3 linked regions of the Coturnix japonica genome follow. The protein of the gene in region 1 purifies or fractionates together with the protein of each later gene. This does not show direct contact. Links are inferred from orthologs where the notes say so. Each region holds a gene or a part of one and is shown in the gene's direction. Other genes may lie near its edges. The genes, in order: COPS9, CUL4A and CUL4B.

Region 1 (9,678 bases):
AGATCATCCCATGTTGTAATAGACCCTGCTGTGACTTGAGTGACCCTGATAACCTCAGCAACTTTGTCATCCTCCCACAGCACCTCATCAGTTCCTGCAGGGAAGAGCTGCAGGATGGGGCTACTTATTTTCCTTTATCATCACCCAGGGCATGTTATCATGTACTTCTCATAGCCTGCAAAGCCCAGTCTGCATATCATAATCAAATAAGTTGTGCAGGTTTGGTCCATGGACCTGAACACATGGCTGCATCAATGGGCTTCACCAAGCAAGGGACATACTTTCTCATACTTTCTCACACCAGCAGCTTCTATAACCCAGGTGAGTGGGGCAGAGCTGCTGGCTGTACATGGGTGATGCAGGTACCCATCCTGCAGGCATAAGGAACATTAAAGAGGAGGATTAAAGCTTTTTGAAGACAGAATAGGTTTTGCTTTCATAATATTTTTCTTTTCAGCCTCCACATGAGTTGGCGCAGCTTAGTGTGCTACAAAGAACTCTTTATTTTCCCTTGCTTGGAACATCTCTAATTAATTCTTGGCAGGACTATCCAACTCTGCATGTAGATAGGAAGAAACTCCAGCAAAGCTGGGTCCTCCTGCAAGGCCATTCACTTGGGTCTTTCCATTCTGGGCCTTTGAGTGAGCAGGCAGGCTTTCCTTGCATGATCTTTGTACGGCAGACAAGTGGCTGTGGTATAGCAAAAGCACCAACAGTCAGGTGCCACAGATGCAGTGAGGAAATGCAACAGATTCAGTGGGGAAATGCAACAATAAGTGGTCTCTAGAATCATGACGGAGAAGTGATTTTTGTAGACTCAGACTAAAGGCAGCTGAAAGCTTCCAGCTAATGTTGGGGGGGAGTCAGCAGGGGTCTGCTTTTTTGTTTCATGCAGACTAATTGGCTGCAGTGGGCACTTGGTACAGCTGTGCATTTTAAGTTCTGGGTTGTAAGGCTGCGGCGTTTTGTGTTTTTGTGAGGAAGGAATCCAGTAACCTCTTCACAATTTGCACAGATAACGCTTCTAAACAGTTACTTTTCTGAAGAGAGGGGAAAAAATGTTAAGATGGTCAGGAAAAGCAGTAATAAATCTCAGCTTGGTCCTGGATTTTCTTCATCTGTTTTCAACATATCAAAGTCTCATTGCTGAAGTTGATTCGGAGATCTTTGTGCGTGTGTGTGTGCACAGTGTGAGCAATTAAAATGACTCTACGTGAAGAGGACGGGATCAGATTGGTGTATGAACTCGGTGACGTTTCTCTCCTTTCCCCCCACCCTTCCTTACACCGTGCTGCTATTTTACAGCACGCAAAATCCTTTTGGATTTTTGGGCTGACTCAGAGCTACAGACCTTTGCTATTGAAAGAAGGAGAAAAGGGGAGGGGAAGAGAGGTAATTTCTAGAGGGAACTTAAAACAACCAAAGTATAAAAGATTTCTGCAAACACTTCATTTTGTGTCAGTTTAGAGTAGCCTCTTGGGTTTATGCCACCTAAAAGTAAATACCAGTTAAAACTTTGGTAGGTTTTCTTTGTTAATACTCTGTGATGCAGTTCAGCAAATGTAATGCAATAGAATTGGATCTCGTTATGACTAAAGTAATGACCTTATTTGGGAACAGCTTTTTCTAATAAAAGATGAAATGCTGTATTTTGCATCGTTCCTCATCTCTTTTAATGATCTCCAGCTGTACAGATTGTTTGTCAGAAACACAAACAGTTGCTTACAGAGAAGATGAAAAGCATCGGCTTCCTTTTCTTCTGTATGCTGATGAACATAAGAACAGGTAAGACTGCTTAGATTTATTCAGGTTGATTTTTCAATACAAAAATCTTTTCACACTAAAATAGCATCTTTTATTTAGTCTCCGATACTGTCTGTGTATTAATTGCAACTCCTTCCTGGCATGTTTGATTTGTAGTATTCTGACTATAAATGGGCAATTCCTTACTCAGCTGTTGGAGAAACAGAAACTTTAGGCTATAAGGGGGGCTCTAAACATACCTTAAAGGAGTTGTCAGCATTGGTCTGTGCACCAAACCTTTTGGGAATTGAAAGTTCTTCTGTGAGAGAGTTGGTGCTGATGATTTTCCTGTTCATTTTCAGATGCCCGATCAATCCTGGAAGGAGATGGTAATGCAAGTATTTTTTTCTTTCTTATGTATCATTAATGATTCAAAGAGTCACTTGTAACTCCCTGAAAGAAGAGTGATTTTTTTTATTTATTTTTTTTCTCTATTTCTTTAATGCGGAAAGCAGATCTGTTAATTCCAATAATGGAGCTTCTATACAAACATTAACAAGTATGATGACCCCTTGAAGACAAGTCCTCCAAGGGGTTATGGCCAAGTCATTACTTATCTGTTTTATGAAAACATAACTGGAGAGCACCAGACTTATAAGCATAGGAGAGACTTCAGAGAATTGTGGCTGTTCTGGTAAGCAGTGAGGGATGTCTGTCCAGGTATTGGTAAGAAATACTGTCCTCCATGGCAAAAAGTAAAACATTTTCAGATTGCCACAAATCTGGTGAAAGAAATAGTGGAATAAATCCCTTGGCACAGCTGCTCTGCTGCTGTGTCCCTTCGGGTGATTAGCCTATTGGATTAGTGTTTGTCTTTGATTAGCAAAAAGCCTCCTCACAATCCTAATGATATTTGCAGTGGCCTACAGATAAGAATATGTAGGTTAACCTTGGTTTGGTGTGTTCAGACAAATTCTTTCTGAAAACAAAGTTGCATAGAAGTAAATCGCACAACAAGGTCACTGCTGTTGTTGGTGCACATCTAACCAGCAGCATCCTCATTCTTCTCATGCTCCGTATCTTTCCTTATGGCTCTCTAACCTTTTTGAATGCATAATCTCTGCTTCCACAAGTTTTTGGGTTGAACACACTGTTTTATTTGTGCACAGCGAGTATTTCTTTGGCAACCTCTTAGGTGAGAGCATGGCTGTCTGAAAACAAGATGTTCTTCAGCAATGTCCTCTTCTCTTTGTAAGCAATTAGGGTTTTCTTTCACACTGGCCATGCAACAGACTGCAAAGTGAATCTAAGTTCAGCTGATACTAACAGTTCTCTTCTGCAGACAGCATTTGGTTGGCTTGTTTGGTTTCTTATATACCATCTGTGCCTGTGCAGTGCAAAATTCACAACATGAAGGTCTGACGCTAAGATTGATTAAGGCTCTTCATTCCCACTAAACACCCTGGTCTGAAGCTGAGTCTGATGAAAGGAACAACTCCCTTTTATTTAAATGGGCTTAAAATCAAAATACTGGGTTTAACTTTGATGCACAGAAAGATGCTTGTAACTGTGTGGTTGCAGCAAGTGTTTATGTTTGACAGGATCCTGTGCAGGCCTGGATTTGGGCCCGAGGCAGGTCAGCTCTTGGCATTTTCAGAGTTTATTTTGGTTCTTCTCATCTTTGACTTTTATATTTGGCACAGAAGATGGAGAGAAAGAGCAATGGGGAAAATGGCTTCAAGTTGCCATTCCTCCTTGCTTTCAAACAGCCCGCTGCCTTCTGGAAATTAAAGCCACCTCAGCAATTCCTGCAATGCTGTTGGTGTCCCTTCAGTCTTGTCCCATCTGGTGCCCCTGCGAAGGGCACGGAGGGTTCAGTGGCTGTGCCCATGTTTGGCAGAGGGGAACCCCAAATGACATCGAGCCAAGCTTTCAACAGAAAAACTTCATGTTGTAATAATTCCCTTTCTTGTTTTATTTTAGATCGAGAACCTGTGGCCATGCCATACTGGCCCTTCTCCTCCAGTGACTTCTGGTCCTACGTGGAGTACTTCAGGACACTGGGAGCCTACAACAGGATTGCTGAGCTGGCCAGGGCCTTGTTTGCACAGCTGCCCGCGGGCAGCCATCTCGGCCTCCACCTGCCTGCACAGGAGGACTGAGCAGTGCCCACCACCATGCTGGGACATCACACCAACACATGGCTGCTGGTGAGCAGCCCTTCCAGTTGCTTGCAGCCATGTGAATGGGCCTGTGTAGTGTTATATGCATTAGAAACCCGCAGGTGAATTAGCCTCTGCTTTTTGCAAGCCGTGCTTTGTGCCAAATCAATAAACTCCTTGATCATATGGTGAGGTTTGGGTTCCTGTTGTATTATCGTGCTGCTGGGCATGTCTCAGGACAGCAAGCTCTGCTGTACATGCAGTCATAGCGTTACCCTAAATGGGCTGATCAGGTAACTAACACCCATGGGGTTATCCTCCTATGTGCACTGCTTACACAAAGCATCTGCAGTGTATATTACATGTGCTACGTACACAGAAGTTTCCCAGAGGTTAAGTCAGATATTCAGTGATTCTACTAGGAGAGTGGTCAGGCCCTGGAACAGGCTGCCCAGGGAGGTTGTGGATGCCCCGTCCTTGGAGGTGTTCAAGACCAGGTTGGACGGGGCCCTGGGCAACCTGATCTAGTAAATGTGTATGTTTGGTGGCCCTGCCAGGCAGGGGGTTGGAACTACATGATCCTTGAGGTCCCTTCCAACCCGGGTCATTCTGTGATTCCCAGCAGGACCCCCTATTTCCTCGATACAAAAAGACTCAGCAGAACTTGGCTCAGAGAGACAGCCCGTTCTGTTACCTACACAAACTGCAGGGCAAGCTTAACGATAATCATGTATTAACAGCGTTACATAGAGCAGAGCTCAGCACGGACCTCCTCCAGGGCGACCATAGAGAGGAGGCGCATAGAGCGGCGAGGCTACTTCCGCAAGATGGCGCGGCCGGAAGTAGGCCATAGAGCGCTGCGGCCGCCATGAAGCCAGCAGTGGATGAGATGTTCCCTGAGGGCGCCGGTCCGTACGTGGACCTGGATGAGGTGGGAGCGGAGGGGCCGGGTGGGTAGAAGCGGCTCTGGGTGCTGCCCCGAGGCGCTCAGCGTCTGCTGTTCCAGGCAGGGGGAAGCACGGGGCTGCTGATGGATCTGGCTGCCAACGAGAAGGCCGTGCACGCCGACTTCTTCAATGGTGAGGGCTCCTCAGGGCGGGTGGGATGAACAGCGTCGTTTGGTTGATTATTGTAGCGTCTTTTGGTTGATTATTGTTAGTATTCATTACAAGTTACATTGCATTGCTGTGCAATACATGCTGTGAGACCTGGCTTCTGTCGTTAATCTCAATACCAAGAGCAATGAAAGCTCGTGTGGTGTTTGCAGCTGTGATTTCCAGTGTTGATTTTCACCCTGTCTTGTTTTTTCCTGACTAGATTTTGAAGATCTGTTTGATGACGATGACATCCAGTGAACTGAGTTGTCCCGCTGTGCTGAGATGTGGAGTTTTCTCTCTGGGATCGCCCGTGCTGTCCTTTATTTATTGCAATGATTAGAACAGGAAAATCTCATAGGGGGTGTGAAAAAAAAGGCTGTTTAAGCTGCTTGGGGAATGTGGAATTCAGATGGTGAAAAGTAACATTGAACTGTGGGCTGTTATTGTTAGGAAGGTGTTTGTAGATCTGTCTTAAAATTGTACTTGATGTGCTATTCAAAACCAACAGCAAAAAACCTACAACCCCAATGAAATCTGTGTGCTGTGTTGTTTCTTTTTTATTGTTGTTTGTATGAAATCATCCACTGTTACTTTTGGTTATTATATACTGATACAGGGCAGGACATATCTCTGCCTTGAGGTGTTCTGTTCATCATAGAGCATGGGATTATCTGCTCATAGGGTGATTACTATTTCCTGAATAGGCATTGACTCATTGCACTAGGAAGACCTGTGGGTTTTGTTCAGTATCAGGTTTGATGTCCAGCTGCCATCAGTGCTTTGCTTTAACCTAAAGAGCTATTTTAGTATTGTTTTTTACTCAGGTTTTGATTTTTAGAGAGGTAATTGTATGATATTGCACCTTCTAGTGATCAAAGTGATTCTCAGGATGAAAGGACCAGGGAGTTTTTAATGTGTTATTTCAGAGTCAAGAGTTCAATCCTTTATTCTATTCTTAAATTAATTGTTTAGGATTAAAGTGAGGCCTAAATTCTATACATTCATCACAAAATAATCCTGTGACTGATCTTTCTTTAAAGAAACTTACAATTATCAATGCTCCAGATGAAATATTTGTGCTAAACTGTATGGAAAAACCCCAAATGAAACCCTTTCTTTTCCTTACCTCTTTCATATGTTTTTCCCTTGGTATTTTTTATCTTAAGAAAGAGGAGATAAATATTTTTAATCTTAGCTGTTCATTTGCTGGCCCTGAAACAACCGTGGGAGCACAATGAGTAAGTAGAACTATGTCTTCTTGTTTTGTTCTTGTGGATTTCTCAGCCTCTTCTATTTTGTCCTCCAGAGCAATTTAAAGCAGCGTATTGGTGTTTACTCTGCTTAGTGTTTGACACTGCAAAGTGACCCTCAGGGCTGTTGATGCAGCCTCCTGTTTATTTTTTACCTCTTGCTTTGCTTGATGAGGGAGGGATTTCAAGCTTTCCTCATTGAAAGCAATATAAACACTGACTGCTTAGTGTTAGCAACATTGTTTGGATTCTTCCTGTCTCTGGTGCTGCACTTTTTCTAAGCAAGGCTTTGGGAAGTGAGTCGTTTCCAGTAAACAGACACTGCGTTCTGAGTGAGTGCCAAAACAGAAAAGGCTTGAAGATCCAGCTGTTCCCTTTGGTGCTGGTTTGACTGCATACATCTGCTGATGCCCATATTCTTCCAGATAGTTGCCTTGGAATACTGTTCTGCTTTTTCTTCCTCCCCCGTTTGCCTTGTTAAATGTTAATAATAATAAAAGTCTTTAAGATTAATGGGCTGATTACCAGGGTACATATATTGTTAGTCATCTGGAGTATGAAGTTATCTCTTGTTCAATGAGACTGGAAGGAGAGTCTGTGCCTATAACTTTGTTTTTCTAAGGGAGTCTTAAAGTGTAGGAATTCTCATCAGTAACTGTAATTTCTTTGGGTCCCTTTTGGGGCCAAAATTCAGTTTGCTTGTAGTCAGCTGTAAGTTGAGCTGTATTCATGCTGTCTTATGTGCACTTGTGGCATGTACATATAAACCCTTTGTAGTCTTATTGCTTGAACTCACATAACCCCTCTTGAGGGGAAAGACATGAGTCTGTATATTGCTATGGATAAACATGCAGCTGAGAATCACGTGCACACTGGGTGTGAGAATACTTCTCAACAAGGGATTGTATTGGAGTTTCTAGCAGGCACATCCTTAGGTATGTTCAAGAAATCTGCGGTACACAGAGGAGCTGCTGGCACTGCTGTTGGTTCCCTTGACCCGGCTGAAGAAGCTTCTGTGAAGATATTGTGAAGAGGTTCCTGCCATCATACCACCAGATGGTAACTGGTGTGTGAAAAAGTATATTTGTTCAACCCCCATCATCCTTCCTGTCCTGATTCCTTCAGGGTTGTGGTGGGGAGCCTGGGGTGGGCTCTCCTGCTTTACCCCTTGCTCTCCTACAGCTTTATGGGTAGACTCCACAGATTTCTGTGAGTTGAAATTGTCTGCTTTGCCCCTCGAGGGGAAACAGATGTTGGTGCTTTGTGTTTCATGTTTCTATTTCAGTGGGAATAAACACCCTGCAAGTAGTGCAGGGCTGACAGTGAACCTGCCGGGAGGGAGCTCACACAGCTCTCCTCAAAGGGCAATGGTGTTAAGCAGAACAAGTGTCTGGGGGTGAGTCTAAGGATACCAAGTGGTGGGAGGGGTTTGCTGCTTTGCCATCCCAACACTTGATGCGCAGAGTGCTTTCATCTTGCACCTACATGTAGCACAAACAAGTCAAAAAACACACAGCAGTCTTACTCCTAGTATGGGTGTGCTCAGGATTGGGTTTGTCTAAAGGAAAAACTGAACCTGATGGCATTTCCTGCATGAAGTGCAATGACAGATTAGCTACATGTCGGCTTTATCCCCGTGCCTTCCATGCCAAAAAGCCTCTAGCAAGTTTATACTTGTCAAATAAATATGATAACAGGGCTTCCTGGGAAGCCATTTATCTTTCTTTCAGCCTGTCGTGGCTTAGTGCGGCTGCTCTTTGTATCCCAATTAATTACTGTCACAAATGATTACATGGGGCTGAGGTGCAATTAGAATCAGCCTATAATTGTCCCTAAAAGGGGCACGGATGCTTTCACAGATGGGGATGAAGCTGGCCAATGTCTCCAGCTGCATTCATGCTATTTTACTGTTAGTGTGCTGACTTTAAGCTTTCAGTGCTGCATGGTCAGGATGAGAGCATCTTGCCTTTCACTGAGCAGTAGTATAGGGAGGAGTCAAACATAGCCATCAAGATCAAGGGATCTGAGTGCTTTCTTTATAATCTGCCCTAATTGCAAAGTCACAAACAGCATTTTGGCCTCGGTATATCCATCATATTGGCTGTTATCTCATGGGAACTGACTGCAGTGTTTGCCCTAAGGGCCATCATTCTGTGAGAGCATAATATCTGGGGAGCACAGGGGGTGACAGCTGCTGGCAGCAATACTGGTGTTCTTTCCCACCTGTTTGAGCTCCGCATGCTCAGACTGTGTGTGTGTTCCTTCCTGGGCTGCCTTTCTCTAAATCCTTCCCAGCAATGCAGACAAAGAGGCAGGAGAGCTCTTTATTGAGAGAGCACTTTATTGTGATATTCTGTGCAGTGTGATAATCCACTGGGGTTCAGGAAATGCTGCTGTAGGAAGTATTTTCAGTCAAAGCCTTTAATACTGTCTTGTGCTTGTAGTAATGCCTTAGCTCTGCTGTGTGTTGTATACATAGGAAGGTCTGGGCTAAAGAAGGGAGAGGACAAACCATGGGTGGAGATCAGAGGCCCTGGTAAGGTGGGAAGTGACGATGGCCAAAGCCCAGCCAGCAGCTCCAGTTGGACTCAGGGAGGTAATGCTGGCTGATAGAGGTACCACTGTGTCAACTGGATTCAAGTGACAAAAAAGGGGTAAGGTAGAATGTGATATTTAAATGTAACATATATAAAAATCAACTTTAAATTTAAAACAAATGCCAGCCCATCTGGAGAGCGACCGTTTCATCATGTGGCTGGAGTGGTTTTTGATTTGGGGCCCTGGTTTCCATCAGGAGAGCAAGAGCAGAGGTAGGAGTGAACTCTTGGTCCTACGGGAGTCACCTGTGTGTCAGGTCAGTGATTTCAGGGGAGGTGGGGCCCATCCTGGTCAGTGGTGGCCCCCATGTGGTGAGGGGAATTTTCTGGTAAATAGAATACAGCTGTAGTGCTGGTGCCCCAGAAGGCAGGTGGGGTTAAGCAGCCTTGTCCCCTCCCATGTAGCCCCCTGCTCTAATGGTCATCCATGTCTGGGTACAGGAGGAAGCCCATGAAAGTGGAATCATTGATGTTGTCAGCATAGACCCCGTTGTTGTCGCCCTCCCCATACACCTGGAGCCAGACCTCATCCCCCGAGCTAAGGTGCAGCAAGACAGAGCCACTCGCTTGGTCAACATTGTTCTTCTGGAACTGGTCATAGGTGAAAATCACTGCCTTGTCCTTCTTGAAAAGGCTGACCTTGACATCCGTCATGTAGACCGTCAGGTGGTAGGCGAAGAAGTACGTGCCAGGGATGATGCAGATGAACTTGCCGGTGCTGGCGTCATAGTGGTTCTGCTCGTTGTAGAAGATCTTGGTGAAGCGGATGGGGACGTTGGGGTGGGGGGCTCGCTCTGTCAGCCCCACGCTGAAGGCAGAGCGGTACACG
Region 2 (10,493 bases), on another chromosome or scaffold:
CAATAGGAGGGTGGCAGCCAATTTTTGCTACTAAAATAGAAGTGATGTCTGGGATTGGTGGTAGATTGCCTGGATCTGGGTGGAAGTGGCTGATATTTGATGGGCTACAGAAAGTGGGGCAGTGCAAAGAACTGCCGAGTGAGGAGCGAGTGATAAAAATAATGGGAAAAGAGAATTCCCTTTGCAACAAGATCCTAAATAGCTTGAAATAGGGCAGCAGCTGCCCTTCTTGAGGGCACGGAATAGAACATTGTTGCAGTAAAGGGGGAAGAAAGTAAATGCTTTGAATCTGGACCAGACTTTTGTGTGGGTGGGTAGGAAAGGCTGTGTCTTAGAAAGCATAACCAAATATCTGACCAACAGTTGTGTGATCACTGTTTGTTTCAGAGGTCACCTCACGTAACCTGTTCTAAGACTGAAGTTAAAAACCAGCATAAACAACAAAGTAATCATGTAATGCCTGCTTGTTTCCATCTTGTGTGTTTTGGAAGATAAGCTCTTCAGGATATTAGAACTGATAGAGGAAACAGTACAAGCAGCAATAACTAGCTTACTAAACAGAGGACTCGGCTCAAAACAAGCCATTAAAGTGGTTATTTGAAACTTATACATGGCTTGTGTAGGTGAAGAGCCTACAGTGCTGTCTTTCTCATGTCATAATAGAAGAGATAATTATTATTACAGCTTTTTCCCCAGTCTCATTGTGTGCAAGATAAATAAAGATCAAATCAGGGTTTCTTTCAGAGGCAGCAAAAAATCTGAACAAAGCAAAACATGCAGAAGAAGGAAATTACTGGTTTTCCCTTCTGCCTTAGTCAATAAAAGGAAAGCAGAAAGAGCTTGCTGAGGGCAGCGCTGTGGTGATAAGGCTGTGGTTTGAAGCACGCTTCAAGCCTTTGCCACTGCCCAAATTGCTACTTTTCCCTTCACCTTTCTCTTGATCTACTCCTACGCTAACACAGTTCTTTTTGTTATCTTAAAGTAGAACAGAGTGGAGATGTGTGTTGGTACTGAGGCAAAGAGTTACATGCTGGCATTAGGCAACGTTCTGCCCAGGGAGGTTGTGGATGCCCCATCCTTGGAGGTGTTCAAGGCCAGGTTGGACGGGGCCCTGGGCAACCTGATCTAGTAAATGTGTATGTTTGGTGGCCCTGCCAGGCAGGGGGGTTGGAACTACATGATCCTTGAGGTCCCTTCCAACCTGGGTCATTCTGTGATTCTGTGAACATAACTTGTCACATCTCAAACAAAATGCACCTATAAAGCTAAACTTTGTGGAAAAACAAGTAAAGACTGAGAAAACACCAACACTTTACCCAAGTTCACTGATGCTGTCAGCAAATTCATCAGCAAAATATGTCACTGTCTGTCCTTTGGAGCAAAGGAAAACATTCTTGTGTCACTTGTAGTTGCCCAGATGAAGCAGTGCTCTAAGTATCACAGAATCACAGAATTGCAGGGGTTGGAAGGGACCTCTAGAGATCATGGTGTCCAACCCCCTTGCCAAAGCAGGCTCCCTACACCACGTCACACAGGTAGGCGTCCAGGTGGGTCTTGAATATCTCCAGAGAAGGAGACTCCACCACCTCCCTGGGCAGCCTGTTCCAGTGCTCATGGTGCAGGATCATCTCACAAGAGAAAGGAAACCAAGGTGAGGTTAAAGGAAGAGAATAGCTGACTTTCTCATCACATCTAACTGCTTTGGATAATTTTCTATGAAGCACTGAATGGCCAGAAGTACTGCTGTAAACTTCACAGTCCTCACCGAATGTTTGGCTGTCTTCATTGTGATTCATTTTAGGTGCTGTGGTCTATTAATAAAATAGTTTATTGAAATACGGGGCACAAGTTAAAATAAAGCGCGCCTGGAACAAAATCTAAATATAGGCAGTGGTATCAAATGAGGCTACGTTTTCTCTTTGGCATTCCCACTGAGTTTTTTGTGAGAGGGAAAAAAATGTTGATTATACAGGGACAAAAATGAGAGCTCACTTAATTGTTTTTAACCTTGTCTGTTAACTGTTTTTGGTTTTAGGCTGTTGAAAACCTCTGTTCCTACAAAGTCTCTGCTACTCTGTATAAACAGCTGCGACAGGTCTGTGAAGATCACGTGAAAGCACAAATCCTTCAGTTCAGGGAATATCCTTTTCCTGTGCGAAGAAATTGTTAGATTTGGGCTTAAATCATGATTTTTAAGTAAGTTTTTAAATGATAGTCATAACGGTGGTGTATGCAAATGTACAAAGAGATTCTTTGTTTACCACTGATGTATTTTCAGATGGACCATGAGCAACTTGAGTCATCCAAGGGAATAATTTTAGTATTTAGAAGCATGGTAGTAATGAACCATTAAAACAAGTATTTGTTTTGTTATGAGTGCGAATTCATAGTAGCACTATGCATCTAAAATCCTCACAGATCTAACAGCAGGTATGGATTCCTGTGGCAAATGTGTGGTGGAGATGCTTCTCCAGTACCAATAGCTGAAGAAAAACTAATTTTTAACAGCAGTGCTGGGAGTCTTCTGTAAGATAGTTCTTAAGCCTCTCTGTATGGCCAGTTTTAAGTACTGGTCAGCAGTGATGTTTAACGGAGGCATTCACCGAGCCCTTTGGATACCTCACGTGTACCTTGGGAGACAGATCAAAGTTCAGAAGATCACTTGGCTGCCTTGTGACCTTCAGAACACTTGCATTTCACAGCAAATATCCCCATTGTTTTCTCAAGTTCTATTTCTATGCTTCTCTTTTTTCCCTCTGAACTGATGACAAAAGTGCTTGCAGATCTCCTCTGGAAGCTTAAGTGCAGCCAGCACTGTTTTCTGAAGCCTGTTGTGCTTTGCATGCCGAGAGCATGCTTTATGTGTCTTGTATGTAAATAGTCTACTGGTTTGCGCTTGCTGGGGAAGTAGGGTAAGTAGAGCCCATGCCCAGCAGGTCGTTCCCAGAGAGTGTCTTGGCAAACAGATGCTGGCGAGTGCTGGAGTGAACAGATGCTGTAGTGATTTGAGTGCTTGCCCTGCTTCCCAGGTCTCTGGTGGATATTCTGTTACAGAAAATGATTGGTTGAAATAGGAAGAAACAAGGGAGCGGGGCCCAGAAAGAGCCCTCTTTGTAAGTGAATGCCTTTAATGTGCTTAGGATTGTGACTCTCAGTTTCTCACTTCACCGCATTCTCCAGGTAGGTGCCTACACTCATAAAGAAGATAAATTGCTTTCTCTGTTCCTTTTTTTTTTCTTCTTCTTTTTTTCCTTTTATATGGCTTAGCTCCAGCACGGTGGTTTTTGTTTGAGTTTTTTTGAGTTCCATTAAAAGGGCCTTGCTTCTACATGTCATACATGAAACACTGATATTGAATTGGCACTGTGAATTCACCTCTTAATTAGGTGGCGTATTTTTTCTATTAGATTCGATTCGATTCATTTTTAAATGACATTCAACTAAAAAGTCCATTAGTTAATACAGTAGTCTTTTAAATGTAACGGAGAACCAAATCTTTTGGTCAGCTTTAAAGCAGTAGACAGTTGGCCAGTTTTGCATCCCTGACTTTTGAGGCTTAAGAAAAACTTAAGCTGTAAGACTTTGTGTTCCTTCCACAAGCCCAATAGAACCAATATTTGGAGAGCTGAGAACTCTGCATTCTACAGGTATACTGCTTTATATCCCAAGGACATGAGATTAGATTAATCAGATTTGACCAAAGGGAGTTGGAGATGGCATTGTGTAAGAAATGAAGGCAAAGCCACTTTTGGGTTTACTCGTGATACAGTAGAATTCTAGTAACAAGTAATGATTGGATCCATTATATAGCGAGTAAAACTTCATGTTTTAATTGAGGAGACCTAGAGATGTATATGGAAAGAGCACTATTTGGATTTATTGAGGATTATTTGGAACTGCAAATGCTTTCAAGAGATTAGGGTCACTCCTGTGGTGCGCAGTGTGAACTCATTAAACAAAGTAAACCTTTCTATCCAGCTCACCTCCATGGGTGATAAGGTTGGTTTTGACACTGATGGGATTTCTTACTTACATCTATATCAGAGCTATGCAGTGTGGTCGGTAGATGGTATTAGTGAAGGGCTGTGTGTGTTGTTCCTTGAAAACATAGGGAGGTTTATTGGAGAGCTGCCAGTTCCTGTGCTGGACAGAAGCTTTGCAATTAACCGTTCATCTCTAGGCAGTCCCAGCAACATCGGAATATCCACGAAGGAGATTTGCTCAATGGCTGGCAAAGATCATCTCTGGAATCTGACCTCAAAAGTTACTGGCGAGCTAGTTTTCCTTAATAGGTGCTGTACAGATTCTCTGGATAGTCTTTTATTTTTAAAGAAGATAAATAAATGCTGGCAAGATCATTGCAGACAAATGGTAAGTTGAGTGTTTGTTCAGAATGTGTATCCTTGAGAAGTACAGCCTGGCAAAAGGGAGCTTTTAACTTGGGTCTGTGATGCGCTTCCTCCAAGTTTCAGTAGGACTTTTCGCTTTCCCCTTTACTGGCTGGGAGCCGTTCTGTTGTCAAAAGTTACATTCTGCTGTGTTATTGGTTTGCTCTTCATTGATTTCCTAGTGGTAACCAGCTAGAATATCACTCAGAAACATATTGACTCTAGTGAAATCATTCAGCAACCAATTCTTCAGTCTTTGCTTATAGATCACTCCAACTAGGTTAATTTGTGGCTTTTATTTTGTATTTTTTTTCAAAACAGAGCTGAATATCCTGACTTACTGGGCTGAGAAACAGGAAGAAAACGACTCATAAGAATTGGCCTTTTAAGATACTACTTCATTATAATTCTAAGTTTTCCTTGCATTGTCACCAAGCTCTGGCTACAGGTGCCCAAAATTGTGGGGCACCCAAATTACTTCCTTTTCCCTCCCCCATGAGGGATGGGCAGGGATGTGTATGTGCATTTTATCTCGAATGAAACGGATAGTGTTGTGGAAAATATTCTGAACAAATTCTGCAGTCTGATGAAATTAAGGTTGAAGGTTATTACCTTGAAAGTTTGATTAAACTGGACCTGTGTTTTTATAAATATATGGTGTTTTCTTTCTGTGAACTCTGTTCTCTTTAATTACTTTTGAGAGTTCCTTTTGTTGGTTTTACTTATTCATGTTTATTCATCAGATCAACAACCCTGTAGGAAGTGGCTTTCTTGTCCAGGTGCTGAGGTAGTACCTGTGGTGTTCAAGAAAACAAAACAAAACCGATCTTGTTGCTATTTTACTTTAACGTGGTTGGCTAGAAATTGTGTGAGCTTGAGAATTGCTTTAGAAGCACTGAAATCCTTTAGAGGAGGATTGAGTAGGCATCTGAGGATAGGCAATTCAGTAGCTGGCCTGGCAGTGAGTTATGTATGGACATCCTGAGGTACTGTAATGCTAAATTAAAAGCTGAGCAGCCTTTTGAATGAAACATTTTTAAGTGAAATATGTGACAGCAGTTTACTGACAGTTGATAACTATGCTTGAGTAAATATGTATCTCAGTAGCACTAAGACTTAAACAGCACTAAGGCCAATAAAACTATTCCATTAATTGCTTATGAATTTGAAAATTGTCTTGAATCTATTCAGTTACAGTGATTAGTCATAGCATTAATGTTAACAAATGACATACCAGTAGAGATGCAGGTCACCAGAAGAGTCAAAAATAGGTGTAGCAGCAATGAAAAATCATGTGTCTGCAATGTAATTTTCCAGAATCTGCCTTATAATTTAAAGTGTTACATGCTGTCAAAGAGAAAAAATGTTTCCTTGATGTGTTTTCAGATCATGATCAGAAGCATTTTCTTATTTTTGGATCGTACATACGTACTTCAGAACTCAATGCTTCCTTCTATATGGTAGGTATCTGCATGTGTGCTCCTTTAGTCTGTACAATTTGTGCTGTATTTATAAAGGTTGAAAATATAATTTTTTTTTTTCCTCACAATATATTTGAGCTGTGTAGTAGGTTGATTAAATTTTTGTGTTAATTTATGGAAAATTAATTCTGTAATATCCACCTTCCCCAGGAGGTAATATGAGGGTAAAATAGGAAGGTCACTGTGGATCAGCTGCCAAGTTTGGGTGAGGCTGCTGCCCCTGGGCCTTCTCTTTCAGTCTAGTGGTTCTTCAGGTGTTCCTGGTTTGGCAAAGTTCAGAGCTTGGCTATTGGCTCTGTTGTTTTAAATGTTAGGTGCACTCACAAGGTGCAGATCATGTTTCCTGCCCTGGCCTTTTGTGAGTTGAGACCCGGGCTCAGAGCTCTGAGGTTAACCCCTGCTTGCTCCTGCAGTTTGAGCACCCCACAGCCACGTCTGTTTCTCAGCGTCCTTCCTGAGAGACATTTTGTATAATCACCAAGACAAACAAATCCATACTTTGCCACAATTTTCTGGTGTCTGTATTCTGTCTAAAGCAAGAAAAGATGTAGATAAAATACTGAAGTAGCAGCGTGCCTCTTCCCTGCGTATATTACTTCTGTGCTCTCCCCTCAGGATGGGGAGGAAGATGGCAGCTTTTTGTGATAGTTCTTCTTATAGAATATATACATGATTAATAAATTCTCTCTGTGTAACGTATAGGTGAGCATAATAGGTGAACAGTTGGACCGGATGATCTTTTAGGTCTTTTCCAACCTTGGTGATTCTATGATTCTATATTTATATATAATACGTATACACACATATTTTCTTTAACATGCAAATTTGAAAAGAACCAACAAAGTGATGTCTTAATTTTCATTATTCACACAGGGACATGGGGCTGGAATTATTTAGGAATCATGTCATTAGTGATAAACAAGTTCAAAACAAGACTATTGATGGAATCCTCCTGCTGATTGAAAGAGAACGAAGTGGTGAAGCAGTGGACCGAAGTTTGCTGCGTAGTTTGTTGAGTATGCTGTCTGATCTGCAGGTGAGTACAGCAAACCTCAGCCATTACCACTAGTTTTAGAAACTGACTTTGGACTATTCTGGCGTGTGTGTTATACAGAAATAATTTTATTCTAGTAAATATGTGCTTCAAAATCTGGCAAACAGATTGAGAAGGCGGTTCCCTTTTCTTTGCCCAATCCACAGTCGTTCATTCTGTTTTTTAAGTGAGATTTCTGTGCTTGTTTTCTTCTTAGTTGCGACATGTCTGTGTTATTTGCTTGTTTCTGCTTTCCATGTTAACTTTTCTGACTTTCGTCCATAACACAAAAGATTTAGAACTGATAATTCTGTTCAAGAGAGAAGAAGGACTTCTTATGATATGAAAAATCATTAGCAGATCTGAAGACGTAGATCTGATTTGTGTGCTCTTTCCCACTTTTTTTTCCTGTTACTTGGCAGTCTTCTCTTAACTGCATCAGTTTTTTGTAGGTATTACCAGTGAGTGCTACTGTTTTGTTTCATTTTTGTTTAGCAAAATACACTGCTAACTAAAGGCATCTCCTCTATTAGATCCTTCTTACAGGTCTGCATTTCAATCTGCAGTCTTCTTCACTCTCTCAGAAGTGTTTTCTTTCTTCACTCTAGAACCTAACAAAGTGTATTCTTTTATATTATCAGGCATGAGTGTGCTTTTGATCCTGCCTCCAGGATCTCTGCTTCTCTCTCCTCTTTCATTGGAGGTTAGCTTGTGGTGAAAGATGAATTAAGAACGCAAATCTTATATTTCATTCAAAAATAATTAAGCTCTTTCTCATTCCTGATTTTTAGGCAATTACAAAATTGGAGACCAACTGCTGAAAGCTTATTCCTGCTTGCATCAATCTTGTTCTATTGCAGTTCCCTGTTGTAAAGCTTTATACGTGGTCTGTGTAGAAATAACTCCTTATTACGTTAGCATAGGTCAGAAAGTTAGTGAAGGAAAGGAAGGTAAGATATAAAGTCTTGGGTTTGATTCAGTTTAAAGAGATGGCTAAAGCAATCAGTTAGTGTCTGCTTATGACATTGAATACTATTACACTCTGAATACCTGTCAAGCCAGAGATTTTGTTTGATGCGCTGAGGAAAAAGCCAAATATTTGAAAGTACTTCCTTATCAGCTTTGTTCCTAAGGCACGTTACTGAGAGTATCATCATTTTACTGTTGGGAATTACCTGTTTTGTTTTCCCAGTTGGAACTGGCCCAGAAATATCAGTGGGGGTTTTGAGCTCACGTGGATTAGATGTCATTGCTGTGCTGTTGTGTTGAGTGCTGGTGTTTGTGTGAATTAAACAGAAACCTGTCAGTTTAGACACGCTGGGAAGTCAACTTTAATTGTAGTCTTTCTAAAACCAGTGGGGAAAAAATCAGATTTCTGCATTTATATAATTTTAAACATTTATTTTGCCTTCCTGAGATTTTACTTGCCTCCAAGTAAACCAGGGTACGCTACTTTTAATGGCAGCTTAATGTAAGTAATTAAATTGATTTCTTGAACAGGTTTACAAAGAATCATTTGAACAGAGGTTTCTGGAAGAGACAAATTGCTTATATGCTGCAGAGGGCCAAAGATTAATGCAAGAAAGAGAGGTAGGTGCATGCTGTAGTTAACTGGTTTTATTTTAGTTCCATCTGCTATGGGATTATGTGGGAACTTCTGGTAGCACCACAGAGTGAATACTAAAAGAAATTTACAAGGGTAAATGATGATTATGCTTTGGGGACTGTGGTATTGTATCAAAGAGAAGAACCAATTCCAGTTTGCCATGATGTTGGGTATATGTATAGATATCTAGTATTTGTATATTGCATATAGAAACACAAATGAAGGGTAGGGAAGTCAAGTGACATTTTTTGTTGCTAAAGTCATGCTGCCAGAATGCTCATCTCCATGTAAAGCTTAAAAGCGTGCCATGAATATGGTATTTTTCTGAAAAGCTGTGAAATATCCACTGCCACTGGTCTACTCTGTATTTAATAGCTAAATTAACTGTTTACTTGTTTTAAGAACTTTTGTTGCATTTATTTTGCTGTTTTGTTCCAGTTACTTACTAGTTAAGTAGACCTTGAGACATCTTTGTTTTCTGTGCTTTTGAGATGAAATTATGCTTTGTGGTGGGCAGCCTGAAAATGTGTTTCTTCATGAAAATGTACACGGACAATATTTCCTGGTTGTCTAAAATAGAGCATGCTACCTTTATTAATTCAGTATGTACACTGACTCTTCACTAGTTGAGAATTGGTAGGTGCAATTACAATGCTTTTATTATGAGGTAATATCAATCATTAAAAACATAGCTTGTGTAGCATATTACATTGTTGTGTAATATTTATTTCCAATCCATGCTCTCATTAAGTTAGAGTTTTAAAATACTTGTCATGAACAAGGTGATCATTCATGCTACTGTACACAACTGTTGAATTTGTCCTTCTCTTCTCTTGCAAGGTCCCAGAATATCTTCACCACGTTAGTAAACGTTTGGAAGAAGAAGGAGACAGAGTGATAACATACTTAGATCACAGCACACAGTGAGTACAAATTTCATTGTTCTTAGCACAAGTCAAGCATCCTTCATAAAACGGTGTGACTATCCATGGCTGTAGAGACACAGAGATCATCTCTGTACATACTATTTGGTGTTTTTATTGTTTCTTTAAAGACTTTATTAATATCAGAGCCAATTTATTTTAAATCCAAGTATTTCTTCCCTAAGTAAAAGGGGAGAAATCTATCTAGAAATCTTCCACCATGAGTTGAAGTTAACAAAATATAACTCAAACGTTCACTAGGGGGAAGAAATGTTAAATTATGACGTGGTGTAGAGAACATGGATACAAACATTCCATTTTAGTTTACAGTGGATCACCTTTGGTACAGCTGCTGCCAATGGGTTGTGCAAGGCAGCTTGTTCTTTTTGGCACTGAGGTACTGAGTAAGAGCATGCATTTTACTGGGGTAAGAATGCACAGTCACTGATGGGCTATAAATGTATATATAATTTATAAATAATGCAGTGGTTGCTTTTGAATAAAGAACGTAACTAGATGGAACTCATTTAGAGCTCTTTGCCCTCACACCTTTTTATTTCCCCTAGGTGAAGTGTTGTCATTTCATTGGGTGTTAAAGAGATCATTGAATAATTTCTCTCTTTTTGTCATATATATTTGAAGAAAACAATAAGTTAAGCTCATGCCTTATATATCATGGTGCATATTTGAGCTTGAGTTTTCTTGCAAAGTGCCTACCTTCTTCATGCAAAATTAGTCAGGTGAAAACATGGAATTATTTCTGTATGTAAATACGATACTATGTCTGTCTGTCTGCTTCTTAGTACTGTTCTGCTTTAGGTAGACCAGTTGTCCTTACTTTTTCTGTTGTAAGAAGTTGTTCTGGGGTAAAGGATGATATTTTATGTAACCTTGAGTCCTATTCTTGAGGACAATCAGCAATTGTAGGTAGCAATAGCTGGAAGTTTCAACAAAAGTAGCTGTAAAAATGGCTTGATGTATGAAGACCAAGGGCCTGCCCAACTAGTCTTTCACGTTCACTTAGGAGCACTTTAGGAAAAGAACAGAGTAAGTACTTGTGAC
Region 3 (10,992 bases), on another chromosome or scaffold:
GAGCTTCCCATCTAACCAAGCACAGCAGGAACAGTTAATTCTGGGGGGGCTTTGAAACATCACAACAGGAAAAAAGGATTAAGAACAATGTGAATCTTTCCAAATAACATTTAAAGCTTTGCAAATCTTTTCAGGTTACTACTTATTCCATGAAATAATATTCAACACCAAAGTAATTAAGTTCATAACCAGCTGAGAACATACACATACAAATTCAACTCAGCAAGAAGTAATTCATAATTAAAGAAGGATACAACAACAGTATCAACGGCAGCGGGGTAAAGTTTTGCTCCAGGAGACGTCAGGCCAGGACACATTATATTAGCTCCACTTAGTACAAATTTAATGGCTCCTTTATCAACCTGCTGATGTGGTAGAATAAATGGATCTAAGAGGGGAAAGATACAGCATTACAATTAATACATTAAGATAACAATATGAATAATTCATTACCATATCGGGGCAATTAGATGAATAATGTGCTGCATGGGCAAGAAGGTTGAGAAATTATTAGCAGCACTCATGCTGGGCAACATTGTCCTGAAAAAACACAGGTACTGTTTTTCCTGATTAAATCTTTGTTCTGAGAGCTAAAGGCTGGGGATCTCAGAACCAAACAGAGGGCCTATCCTTCCTGCATGTACACACAGCCCTTATAAAAGCAATAAAAAACTAAAACAAGCTTCAGCCAAATAAAACAATCACTGAAGTGCCTGCATCCTAAGGGATGTTAAATGCCTCAAAAGGAAAACAAACAAACAAAAAAACCCATAACCATACATACAACTACTTCCATTACAAATAAACACTTCAGAAGTAACGGGACAAAATAGGCAAAGACAGACAAAATTCATGAAGGTCAGTTCTCACAAGCATTCTCCGGGTTTGTGCAACATCAAGTATTTCAAACATGGTTTTTAAATACAAATCAACGTTTTATGAACAGCCAAAGTCATCCAAAGCAGTAACAGAATGGAGGAGAATAGCAAGAGTAGAGATAAAGTAATGCTAAAGATTATATTTTAAGAAGTAAAAGCTGGAAGCTAGAAGGAAGCACAAGAATTCTGCAACGTAATACCTAAAAATCAAAAGTCGGATTACTTAATATAGAAAATTACATTTATTTTGGAGATAACAAGCCACCTAGATACCTAAAGCAGCAATGTAAATACAGACGGAAATATATAATACATCTTTAAGACCTGTATAATGCACTATATAAATATCAATAGGTTTTTTTAACTCAGTTTTACAGAGGTCTTTTTATTGACACGCTCACCCCTCTGCTCCCAAAACCACCATCCTTAGAGAACTTACATTTGTGAAGTAACCTTAGCGTTGGGTAAAAAATCCCTTCTCTTTGTCTGAAGAACAGCAATTCTCCATTCACAGTGAGGATTTCTATATGTTCATGACTGCAAAATAAAATCAATGTAACCTTAACAACTAATTATCTCTTTCGTAAATTAAAGGCCCCACATTTTCTGATCTACATTGGCAACTGAGGATAATTAAGGCAGTCAATTATCAGGAACATATAAAACTAAAAATACCAGATGCTTTCTTGGCCTCATGCACTATTCCCTCTCCTGTTCTGTAGACAGACAGACAGACAGCTGATCACAAAAGCCAGCAAAAATATCATATCCTCTAATAAAATAAAACAGTTTGATCTTCTGAAGCCATAAAGCTGAATGCTTCCCTTCAACAACAAGCCAGTCCCAAGAGAGTCACCATACAGGTCCAGATGTTTACCAGCAGGCATTCCCATTTTCCTCCAGCACCCTACAAGCATGTTTTCAACAGCATGATAAGCACACACAGGCACTTCTACCTACAAGAATGAATACATCCTTTTAAAGCCCCTAGGCTGTTCTCCTACAGAAAGTCAGCATATACATGAAGCAACCCAAGCACGTTGGAAACAGAGGTTAAACAAAAAGAAACTCACCATCTTACTATTTTGACGGGGTCTTTCTTTGGCATGATTTGGTTTAGCCATGGTTCGATAACAGGAAATTGGTCTATCAGCTGGTTCTTAATACCTTTAATAACTGAAGTCTTCAGCTGGATACAGTTCGATACGTTCTCCTTTTCATCAAATCTGCCGAGCAAAAACATTTCAGAAACACTGAATTAGCTGCCCAAACGACGTAACGTTTACAGATATTAACAACATAATGTGCCCAACTTTGAGATACAAGCTTACAAGAGCCGTGACGCCGGCCCCGGCCCTATTGCTGAGGCGGACGGAGCGCCGGGCCCGGCCGAGCGCACTCACAGGGCCCATAGCGGCCTCCTACAATCAGCCCAACCAACCCCACTCACTTTTTGAACATCCTGGGACGGTGGGAGCCGGGACAGCGAGATCCTGTGCCGGGCGTGGACCGGCGGGCGCGGGGCGGGCTGCCGGGACTCCGCGCTCCCTCACACGAGGTCCCGGCCCTCCCCCTCCAGCGCCAGCCGGAAACGCCGCGCGCTTTACGGCATGTCGCGCCGCTGTATGACAACGGAACTGCTGAGGCTGGGAGGAGTGGTCATTGAGAGCAGATCGGCTGAGAACGACCTGGGGGTCCTGATAGATGAGAAACTTAACGTGAGCCAGCAGTGCGCACTGGCAGCACGGAAAGCAAATGGGATCCTGGGCTCCATCAGGAGAGGGGTGGTCAGCAGGGATAGGGAGGTGATCGTCGCTCTCTACTCGGCTCTTGTGAGGCCCCATCTGGAGTACTGTGTCCAGGTGTGTAGCCCTCAGTACAAGAAATACATGGAGATTTTGGAAAGGGTCCAGAGGAGGGCCACGAAGATGATCAGGGGGCTGGAGCACCTCCCCTATGAGGACAGGCTGAGGGAGTTGGGTTTGTTCAGCCTGGAGAAGAGAAGGTTGCGAGGTGACCTCATTGCAGCCTTTCAGTACCTGAAGGGAACTTACTCCCAGGAGGGGAGTAAACTCTTCGAAAGGGCTGATAATAGCAGGACTAGGGGAAATGGTTTTAAGTTAAAAGAGGGAAGATTTAGGTTGGATGTTAGGGGGAAATTCTTCACTAGGAGAGTGGTTCGGCCCTGGAACAGGCTGCCCAGGGAGGTTGTGGATGCCCCGTCCTTGGAGGTGTTCAAGACCAGGTTGGACGGGGCCCTGGGCAACCTGATCTAGTAAAGGTGTATGTTTGGTGGCCCTGCCAGGCAGGGGGGTTGGAACTACATGATCCTTGAGGTCCCTTCCAACCCGGGACATTCTGTGATTCTGTGAATGGAACGCGCTGTGTCTCTGTGCATGTGCATGGATGGCAAAGCAGGATGCGGCTGTCTCGCAGTACAGCCGAGGAAGGGCCGTGCTCATCCATAGGGCGGTGTGATGCTGTGATGGAACGTGCTGACACCGCGCTCTGCTCCCAAAGGCTTCAGAGTCACCGGCATGAAAGATCAGGCCACCATCCGAGCACCTTTTCTATATCAAATCAACCGCGATACATAGCATCCACACAACGTTCAGCCAAGCTTCCACGCGTGGCACAGTCTATTTAAGCGCTGTGATACAGCCGGTTCAGGACTCAAACACCGAACAAACCCCTCACGAACCACGCACGGCACTGCGCCCGCACCGCGCATGCGCACAACGCCGGCCTCAGCCACAACGGCGCCGCCATAGGCCACGCCCCCTATAGGCCACGCCCCTCATAGGCCCCGCCCTGCGCCGGCGCGCGAGGGTTCCGGCGGGCGGCCGTTATAGCGGCCGGCAACCATGATCACTTCCGGTAGGTCAGAGGGCAGGCAGCCGGCGGCCGTGTTGAGGCGTTGGCTGCGGGGCAGCGCGAGGGAGCGGCGGGACGAGCGGGCGGGAGGGAGGAAGGGCGGAACCCGGCGGGCAGGGCCGCGCCGCTGGGACCGCGGGGCCGAAGCGGGGCCCGTCGGGCGGCCGCGCCCCGGCATGCACAGCGAGCGGATGCGCCGCCATCTTTAGGCTCCCTTCCCCGCCTGGAGTGACAATAACAAGCACCGGGCCCGGCCGCCCCGGCAGCGCCCCGGCAGCGGAGAGGGGCGGGCGGGAGCCCTGCGGAGGAGCGGGCGGCGGGGGCCGCGCTGAGGGCGCTGAGGCCGGGGCGCTGTTGGCCCCGCTCGGCCGAGCAGAGGTGGCGGGGCGGCGGGGAACCGCTGGGGCCGGAGAACGGCGCTGAGAAGAGCCCGAGGGTGGACGGAGGTGGGGGAGGAAGCGCTGCTTTGAGGGCGGGAGACGGAGGAGAGCCGCGAAGAGAAACGGAGTCACAAAGAGAAGGAGATCCGGTGTTTCCTCCGAGGGATAAGAAGGAGAAGGAGGGGGAATACCGAGGGACTGTGTCGATAAGGAGAGAGGAGTTAAAAGACTCCGCTGAGAGACGCCACCGGAGGCTGACGGAAGAGCTCTGTCCTCTTTGTCGCGCTGCCAGGATTTGATGCCCGTCAGCCTGCTCATTTCTGTGTGTTCATGTTTCCCACAGGTTTCTCTTCCCCCAACCCCTCCACTGCAGCTCAGGAGGTCAGGCCCGCCACTGATGGTAGTAGCGGCAGCAGCTCCTCCTGCAAGAAGAGAAAGTTAAATAATAGCAACTCTGAAAGAGAGGAATTCGATTCCATTTCCTCCTGCTCGTCATCTCCTTCCAAAAACAACTCCTCCTCGTCTTCTTTAGTCATCACCGCCTCTTCGTGCTCCTCCTCGGGGGTCGCCTCCTCCAACCATCACCTCCAGAAGAAGCTGCGCTTTGAGGACTCCTTGGATTTTATCGGACTCGATGTGAAGATGGCTGAAGAGTCTTCTTCCTCCTCCTCTCCCGCTGCCTCTTCTCAACAGCAGCACCAACAGCAGCTCAAAAATAAAAGCCTTTTAATTTCTTCAGTGGCCGTAGGGCACCATGCCAACGGCCTGACCAAAGCTGCCTCCTCTACTGTGTCCAGTTTCGCCAACAGTAAACCTGGCTCCGCTAAGAAATTAGTGATCAAGAACTTTAAAGGTAACAGACCATAATTCCTCACAATCTCTGCGGAGCTGCCGCTCAACTCTGTGTTTTGTTTTCAACATGAAAACCTGGTTGGCTTTCAAATAGCTCCAGGTTTTACAGGAAATGCTTTTTTGTGGTAAACATTCTTAGACTTATGTAAAGGGGGGTTATGTTGATGATGCGTCCTTGCCCGATCACGTGCACATCTGAGCCAGACTTCCCTGCTTGGGCTTATTGTTCTGACTGCATTCACTCTGTTGAGGAGAAGGCCCTTTCTAGTATCTTGAAGGAAACATTTTACTGCCTAAGTGTGTAAATCACCTTTGATCAAACTTCTGAGGTTTGAAAGCACTTTTCCAGTAACCCAGACTCAGGGTATACAGTATATTTTAGCCTTGTTTATGGTAAGTCTTTGCAAAGTATCCTTAAAAAAAAAAAAGACTTGAATCTCCATGTCTTGCCCACGTGTATTTTGTCTGTTTGTAGGTTAATCCGCTTGTGCTTAGTTTTAAATGTTGAAACTAAGGTGATTATCCAGCTCTTAAGGCGGATTTCCTTTCTGCTTCTCCTACTTGACTTCAGAGTAGGTAGTTCAGACTTTTGCAGGTTATTTTTCTTGCAGTATCATCACTGCTGTGCTTATTGCTTAATTTTTTAGCATCTTTTCTACTTTAATATGCTCTTCCTTTTTTTTTTTTCTTTTCAAATTTACATTGTTTTGTAGTTTCTCAACCAACATGGTGGAGCTTTTCCAATGTTGTTACTTGAGATCAACTGAAGCAGGGAAATGAAGCTTTCTGATGTGAATTCAGCATGATATTCTAATGAACAAAATTGAACTAGGTGAAGGCAGCGATCCTAGCTAAAATTCTGTAGTTTTTATCCTAAAAAACGTCTGAGAATTGTGAGATTTTCTTGTTAGTCCATTCTTCCCTTTCAAAGTAATTCAAGAACTTACTTTCCTGAGTGGTTTTGTTTTTCTTCTTATGTTTGGGTGGGAGAAGAGAGGGCTTAAAGGTCTGACAGAGATTAAAACGTATTTCTAAAGAGGCGGTTGATACAAATGTGCTGTAGAGATAGCACAGAAGGTGAGGATTAAGGATTACCTGAGCCACTGTAATGTTCCAGTGTGACTTTTTGCTTTAAGGACTACTTAATTCTCAAGAATGTTCCCAGTCTGTTTCCCGTGCTGCCATGTCACCATCTGTTAATTTGGTTGCCTTAAAACCTTGTACTTAGGGTGCATGATGGCAAGAAATAAATGCTGCCACTGCATGTACTTTGTTATTTTTAAGAGAAGGCAACTTTTCACATTGAAAATATTAACTACATGCCAGGGATGACATGGAGCTGCAATCATCATTGCTTATAAATTGCTCTTGGAATCACTTCCTTAAAAAGAATGTCTTGAGAATCTGCATCTCTGGTTTTTATTTATGCTCATATGCCAAGATGACTAATAATCGTAGTGTGCTTTTGTCTGCGATAGCAATACACGTCCTTTACATCTTCCTAAGATTCAGTATGTTGCTATTTACTCCTGTATGTCGTATTCATTGCAGGCTAGTGGAAATGAGCAAGTCCCAGTTGTAGCGAGTTGTCTCTGTACGGTACAGTCAGTGTTGGGATATTGCCATTACTGTAGGGAAATGTTTGGGAGGGGGAAGTAAACAGAAGAAGGATTATTTTTTTTTATCCCCAAGAGAAATGATAAAGCTTTGAGGTGTTTGGTGGGGTTTGTTGTTGTTGCTGTTGGTTTTTACCTTTAAGTTTGCAAAGTCCATTAGAGTGCAGTCAACTTCACTTGTTGGTGACAAGGATATGCATCTGACTTCCCGATTTTTCTCCTTTTCCCATCTCCATTTGGGAAATTCTATGACCCAGCAGAAGGGGTCATTTGAGTGAGCTTGAGAACACATCATTTTAAAGCAGTCTTGGTTTTCTGAGGATGTGACATGGGTGATCTTTTTCATGCTGTGGTAATTGCTTTGGTCTTGTTGTGGGCACTGCGTAGCAGAGCCTCTGGAAAATCTGCAAACACTTGAGCTATACGAGCATTAGAAGAGGCCTTAACTCTACAAATATCCTCTGGCCAAACCCAAGAGAAACATAAATAGATTAGTTAGAAATCCAGAGATTTTTCCTCGTGACCATAAAGCCTGTATTAAACTAAGTATTTCTATGCACATTACTTGGGAGTTTCTTTCCAAATATTAACGCAGAGTTGAAATTATATATTTAATTAGAAATATGCTGTGCACGACTCCGTATCCCTTAATCCATCATTTTCAGCTTTTGTTGCTTTGATTGATTATTTTTTCCCCCTCTATTAGCTGTGCTGTTCTGGTACTAGAAGGGCTTGTAATGAAAATGCAGAACAGTCTTCTTGGGTTTTAGTGCTCCCCTCGCTGAGCTGCATAAACATGTTATTTAGAATGTTTTCTATTAGTATTTTTCAATACAATCACAGTCTCTTAGGGCTGCTGATGTTGTCATGTGTACATGAAGAGCAGTGCTGAATTTTTAGTGTGTTACTATTTCAAATGTAAGAAACTGCTTTTGCCTCATTGCTTTCTTTTCACATGTGAAGTATAACTCAGAACATCAACGTATACATTCTCCTCTCTGAGTTACTTTTGTAAAAGGTAAAATCTTTTGCTCTTACTAAACGCTTCCTCAAACTCTTTAAAATAATTTCTTTTTCAAGATAAACCCAAATTGCCTGAAAACTACACAGATGAAACCTGGCAAAAACTGAAAGAAGCTGTAGAAGCAATCCAGAACAGTACTTCCATTAAGTACAACTTAGAGGAGCTCTATCAGGTAAGTGCTTTAAGTACACTTAAGTACAAGTGTTGAGGTGAGGGATTTTCTCGGTGGTTTAGGGTTTTTTTTTTTGGTGTCTTTTCCTGTTGTTTGATCTTACAGCAATGGTAGGAACGTGACGTTCTGTTGACAAATAAGGCAAGTAGCTGTATTTGGGTTTTCTGGTGTGTGGCTGCTAAAGGAGAAATATGAAAGTCCTAAAATGGTGGTATTTAAGTAAGAAAAGGATTACTGACAGTTCTGATTGAGGCTCATAGGTAATTAATTTGAAAACCACCATTTTTTGTTTGCCTTTCTAAAAGTAAATATAATACTGTCTTGGTTCGGTTTGTCTGTAATTGCTTGTCATTCAGCATTATTTCTAACTGAGAACTAACATCTGTTTGTTTCCTGCAACAGCTCTGACTATTTTGCCCTAAACCTTTCAGGAAGTGATTGGTCTTAAGCTGCATCTCGTAACGTTTTATTTATAAACTTTTCTTTTTGAGTTAATGTGATAGGGAGTCGACTTTTCCTCCTTACTTACTCTGAACTTAAGGTTTTAGTGGCATTACTACTTAAGCTAGGTATAGGGAAGCACTCTCATTATTTTGAAAGGTTTTATTACAGTGTTGGTTGTTCTCTGTTTCTGTATCTGTTGTTCAGTTCATCTGTTTTTGAGTTTGTTCTTCCTCATTCCCTCCCTCCCCTTCTTGCTAAATATTGTTTTAGATTTGCCTGGTTTCTGTGAAAAGCTGGGGGCAGAAATGCAGTTTGCAGAAGGTTTGGGATCAGATCAAGGGGAAAAATAAGTTATTTTCCTTGTGAAACCTGGATCTTCCCAGGCCAAGTTCCTTGGTCTGGTGCATTTTTAAGGTTATGACAATTTTTTATAATGCTCAGTGGTGAAACTAATGGCAAAGTACAGACCACCAGATTAGTTCATATCTAAAATAACATGCTCTAGACTGAACAACAGAGCAAATAAGTGCACTGTATTCATAATGGCTTAAAGATGCAAGGTTGTTAATACAACTTTGTATTGTGCTATGAAGTTGCCACTTAAATTCCTGCTGCTTTTTCTCACAGCCTTCGTTTTTGATGACACTTGTGCTAACAAAAAAGGATAAGATTATTCTTTTAAATCTGTTTTAACATCGTAATGATGTAGATACATTTTAAGAAAATAGAGAAATCATACTTGATTGCACACTCATTTTTATAAATATAAAAGTGTTGTGATTTAAAATGATTGGGAATCACTGTTGTTTTTAGTGCATACTGATGTCATTTCTGAATAACTGTTTGGTAAATGGATCTGATTCCAAATGTGCCTTGGCAGACACTATCCAAGCATAGAGGAAGTTGCAGGAGTCTGCAGAAGTTGTTGCAGCACATATCAAAATAGGATGCCTTTTTTAATGGAGTTGTTTAGTTTCACTCTTGTCTGTGTTGGAAAAACTTGCTGAGCAGACACTGAAGTTTTGTTAGTTTGTGGCTGTTAGTTTTGCACTTACTCTATTCCCCCTCCAAGAGGAGAGAGAACACAGTTGTGAGAGGCTGAAATTCTGTGCGATTGACTGCAGCTTTATGGGAACAATTCTTCTGTTAATACCAGAAAGTAAAGATCTCGATCTTTGGTACCTTATCTATAATTACTTTTTTTCCCCTTAATTAATCACAGTACATCTGGGAAGTTCTGAGGTTCCCTTGTCAGAGCAGTGCTTGTTTTGTCCCTGCTTTCCCTAACACGAACCCTAGTTTGGATGCTTTAATTAAAAGACTAGAATTCATCTTGAACATGGATTCAGATGTTTTGACCATCTGTAAGACACCGATGTCTTCACGAAATGTTTTAATTTGGCAATTCAGAATAAAACCACCTGATGAATTACAGCTTCTAAAGTTATCAGGAATTCCTTAGATAGAATTATGTCTTGTAAGTCTAGCAATAAAATTGGCAGTAGCATTGCAGCAGCGTTGTGCTTCGTGGAGCAGATTTGGTAACGCTTTTATCTGTGCGCTTAGGAAGTTTGTCTTCTTAAAAATCATCATCATAATGCCAGTAAGTTGGGCAGAATTCACAGATTATAAATATTGTTGTGGTTGTTACCAGCAAAGGTGCAGCAGCTTTGTATTTGGTATTCAAGCACATGCCTTCTGTTTAAGATTTTGGGATTTCTGATGCACAAATGGGAAAGCACAGCTTTTATATGAATGATGTATAGAAGCAAGCACATGCTCATATGTGCTAATAGGTGTGTCTTTCTGCCTGCAGTGAAAAAGCCAAGTTTTATAAGGACTTGTGGCAGTGTGGTTAAATAGCACTTGGGTTGATAGGCAGCAGTGAGGAGGATGTTCAGCTGAAGTGGCTGAGCTGAGCTCTCAGCTGCTGGTGAAGTACGGTGAAATAGCTGCAGGGGTCAGAGTGCTGCTTAGAAGTGAGGCTGGCAGGGCTATGCGGGCAGCTAGCAAATCAGGAACATCCATCTTTCTTGCTCTTTGTTGTCTCCTCCAAAATAAGTGAGAGAAGTAGTAGTCTGCTTACTGCACTCGATGGAACTTTATCAGTCTCTTTAAATTTGGTGTTTTCAATCATTGTTTTCTTCTGAAATCAAAGTAGCCATTAAACAGCAGCAGATCTTGGGAATTAATGTTGAGCCTACCCCTATGGGTGGTACAGCACGATAGAGTTGATTGTCCTTCACAACCTACTCTGAAATGTAATCTGGAATGTGTTCTTATTGTATTGTTGTGTTTGTTTGGGATTCCTTCCATGTTAAGAGTTAAATTTATTGCTGTTTACAAATACTAAGATCTGTGTATTTTGACAATTTCTGTCTTTTCTAATAATCCGAACTCAGATGTCACATACCTGGCTCATATTTCTGTACATTGGTGCTTAGAAGATGCTGGCTCAGCTTTAATTGTCACGCTTACTCTTGCTCTACCTGTTTCTTTCTGTCGAGCTTATGCAAGTTTGATTTTCCTGTTGGCAGTGTTGGCTGGTTTTTATTTTGTTCCAGCTTTGCTGTGTCACAGAGCCCATATTTACTGACTGCACTTGTGCTGCCTACATCAAGAAGTGCTGTGTACCCCAGGAGTGATTACCAGTTTAACTGCTTTGATTATTGCTGTGCTTGTAATGGTGGCTGTTAGCAAGTATTTGAGGGGGCTTCAATGTGATGGAATAGGCGTGCTCTAATAAGACCTC

The links.
Region 2: the proteins of COPS9 (region 1) and CUL4A purify together in Homo sapiens (affinity purification with mass spectrometry; 3 studies listed by BioGRID and IntAct, with this or other methods). This does not show direct contact. The link is inferred for Coturnix japonica from reciprocal best matches to the Homo sapiens genes COPS9 and CUL4A.
Region 3: the proteins of COPS9 (region 1) and CUL4B purify together in Homo sapiens (affinity purification with mass spectrometry; 3 studies listed by BioGRID and IntAct, with this or other methods). This does not show direct contact. The link is inferred for Coturnix japonica from reciprocal best matches to the Homo sapiens genes COPS9 and CUL4B.

Annotation. Positions count from the first base shown.
Region 1 is NC_029524.1:4,031,698-4,041,375, forward strand, and holds COPS9 (COP9 signalosome complex subunit 9), read left to right. Parts: upstream 1-4,703; 5' UTR 4,704-4,773; coding exon 4,774-4,836; intron 4,837-4,911; coding exon 4,912-4,984; intron 4,985-5,222; coding exon 5,223-5,260; 3' UTR 5,261-5,535; downstream 5,536-9,678. Other genes in the region: OTOS (otospiralin), read left to right, coding at 1,734-1,785, 2,106-2,132, 3,727-3,905; ADIPOQ (adiponectin), read right to left, coding at 9,264-9,678.
Region 2 is NC_029516.1:123,890,306-123,900,798, reverse strand, and holds part of CUL4A (cullin-4A), read left to right. Parts: intron 1-2,035; coding exon 2,036-2,139; intron 2,140-4,301; coding exon 4,302-4,371; intron 4,372-5,774; coding exon 5,775-5,848; intron 5,849-6,742; coding exon 6,743-6,905; intron 6,906-8,402; coding exon 8,403-8,492; intron 8,493-9,348; coding exon 9,349-9,431; intron 9,432-10,493. UniProt on the Homo sapiens protein: Core component of multiple cullin-RING-based E3 ubiquitin-protein ligase complexes which mediate the ubiquitination of target proteins. As a scaffold protein may contribute to catalysis through positioning of the substrate and the ubiquitin-conjugating enzyme.
Region 3 is NC_029519.1:15,289,645-15,300,636, forward strand, and holds the start of CUL4B (cullin-4B), read left to right. Parts: upstream 1-3,676; 5' UTR 3,677-3,742; coding exon 3,743-3,755; intron 3,756-4,475; coding exon 4,476-4,985; intron 4,986-7,680; coding exon 7,681-7,796; intron 7,797-10,992. Other genes in the region: MCTS1 (malignant T-cell-amplified sequence 1), read right to left, coding at 255-388, 1,318-1,415, 1,952-2,104, 2,329-2,339.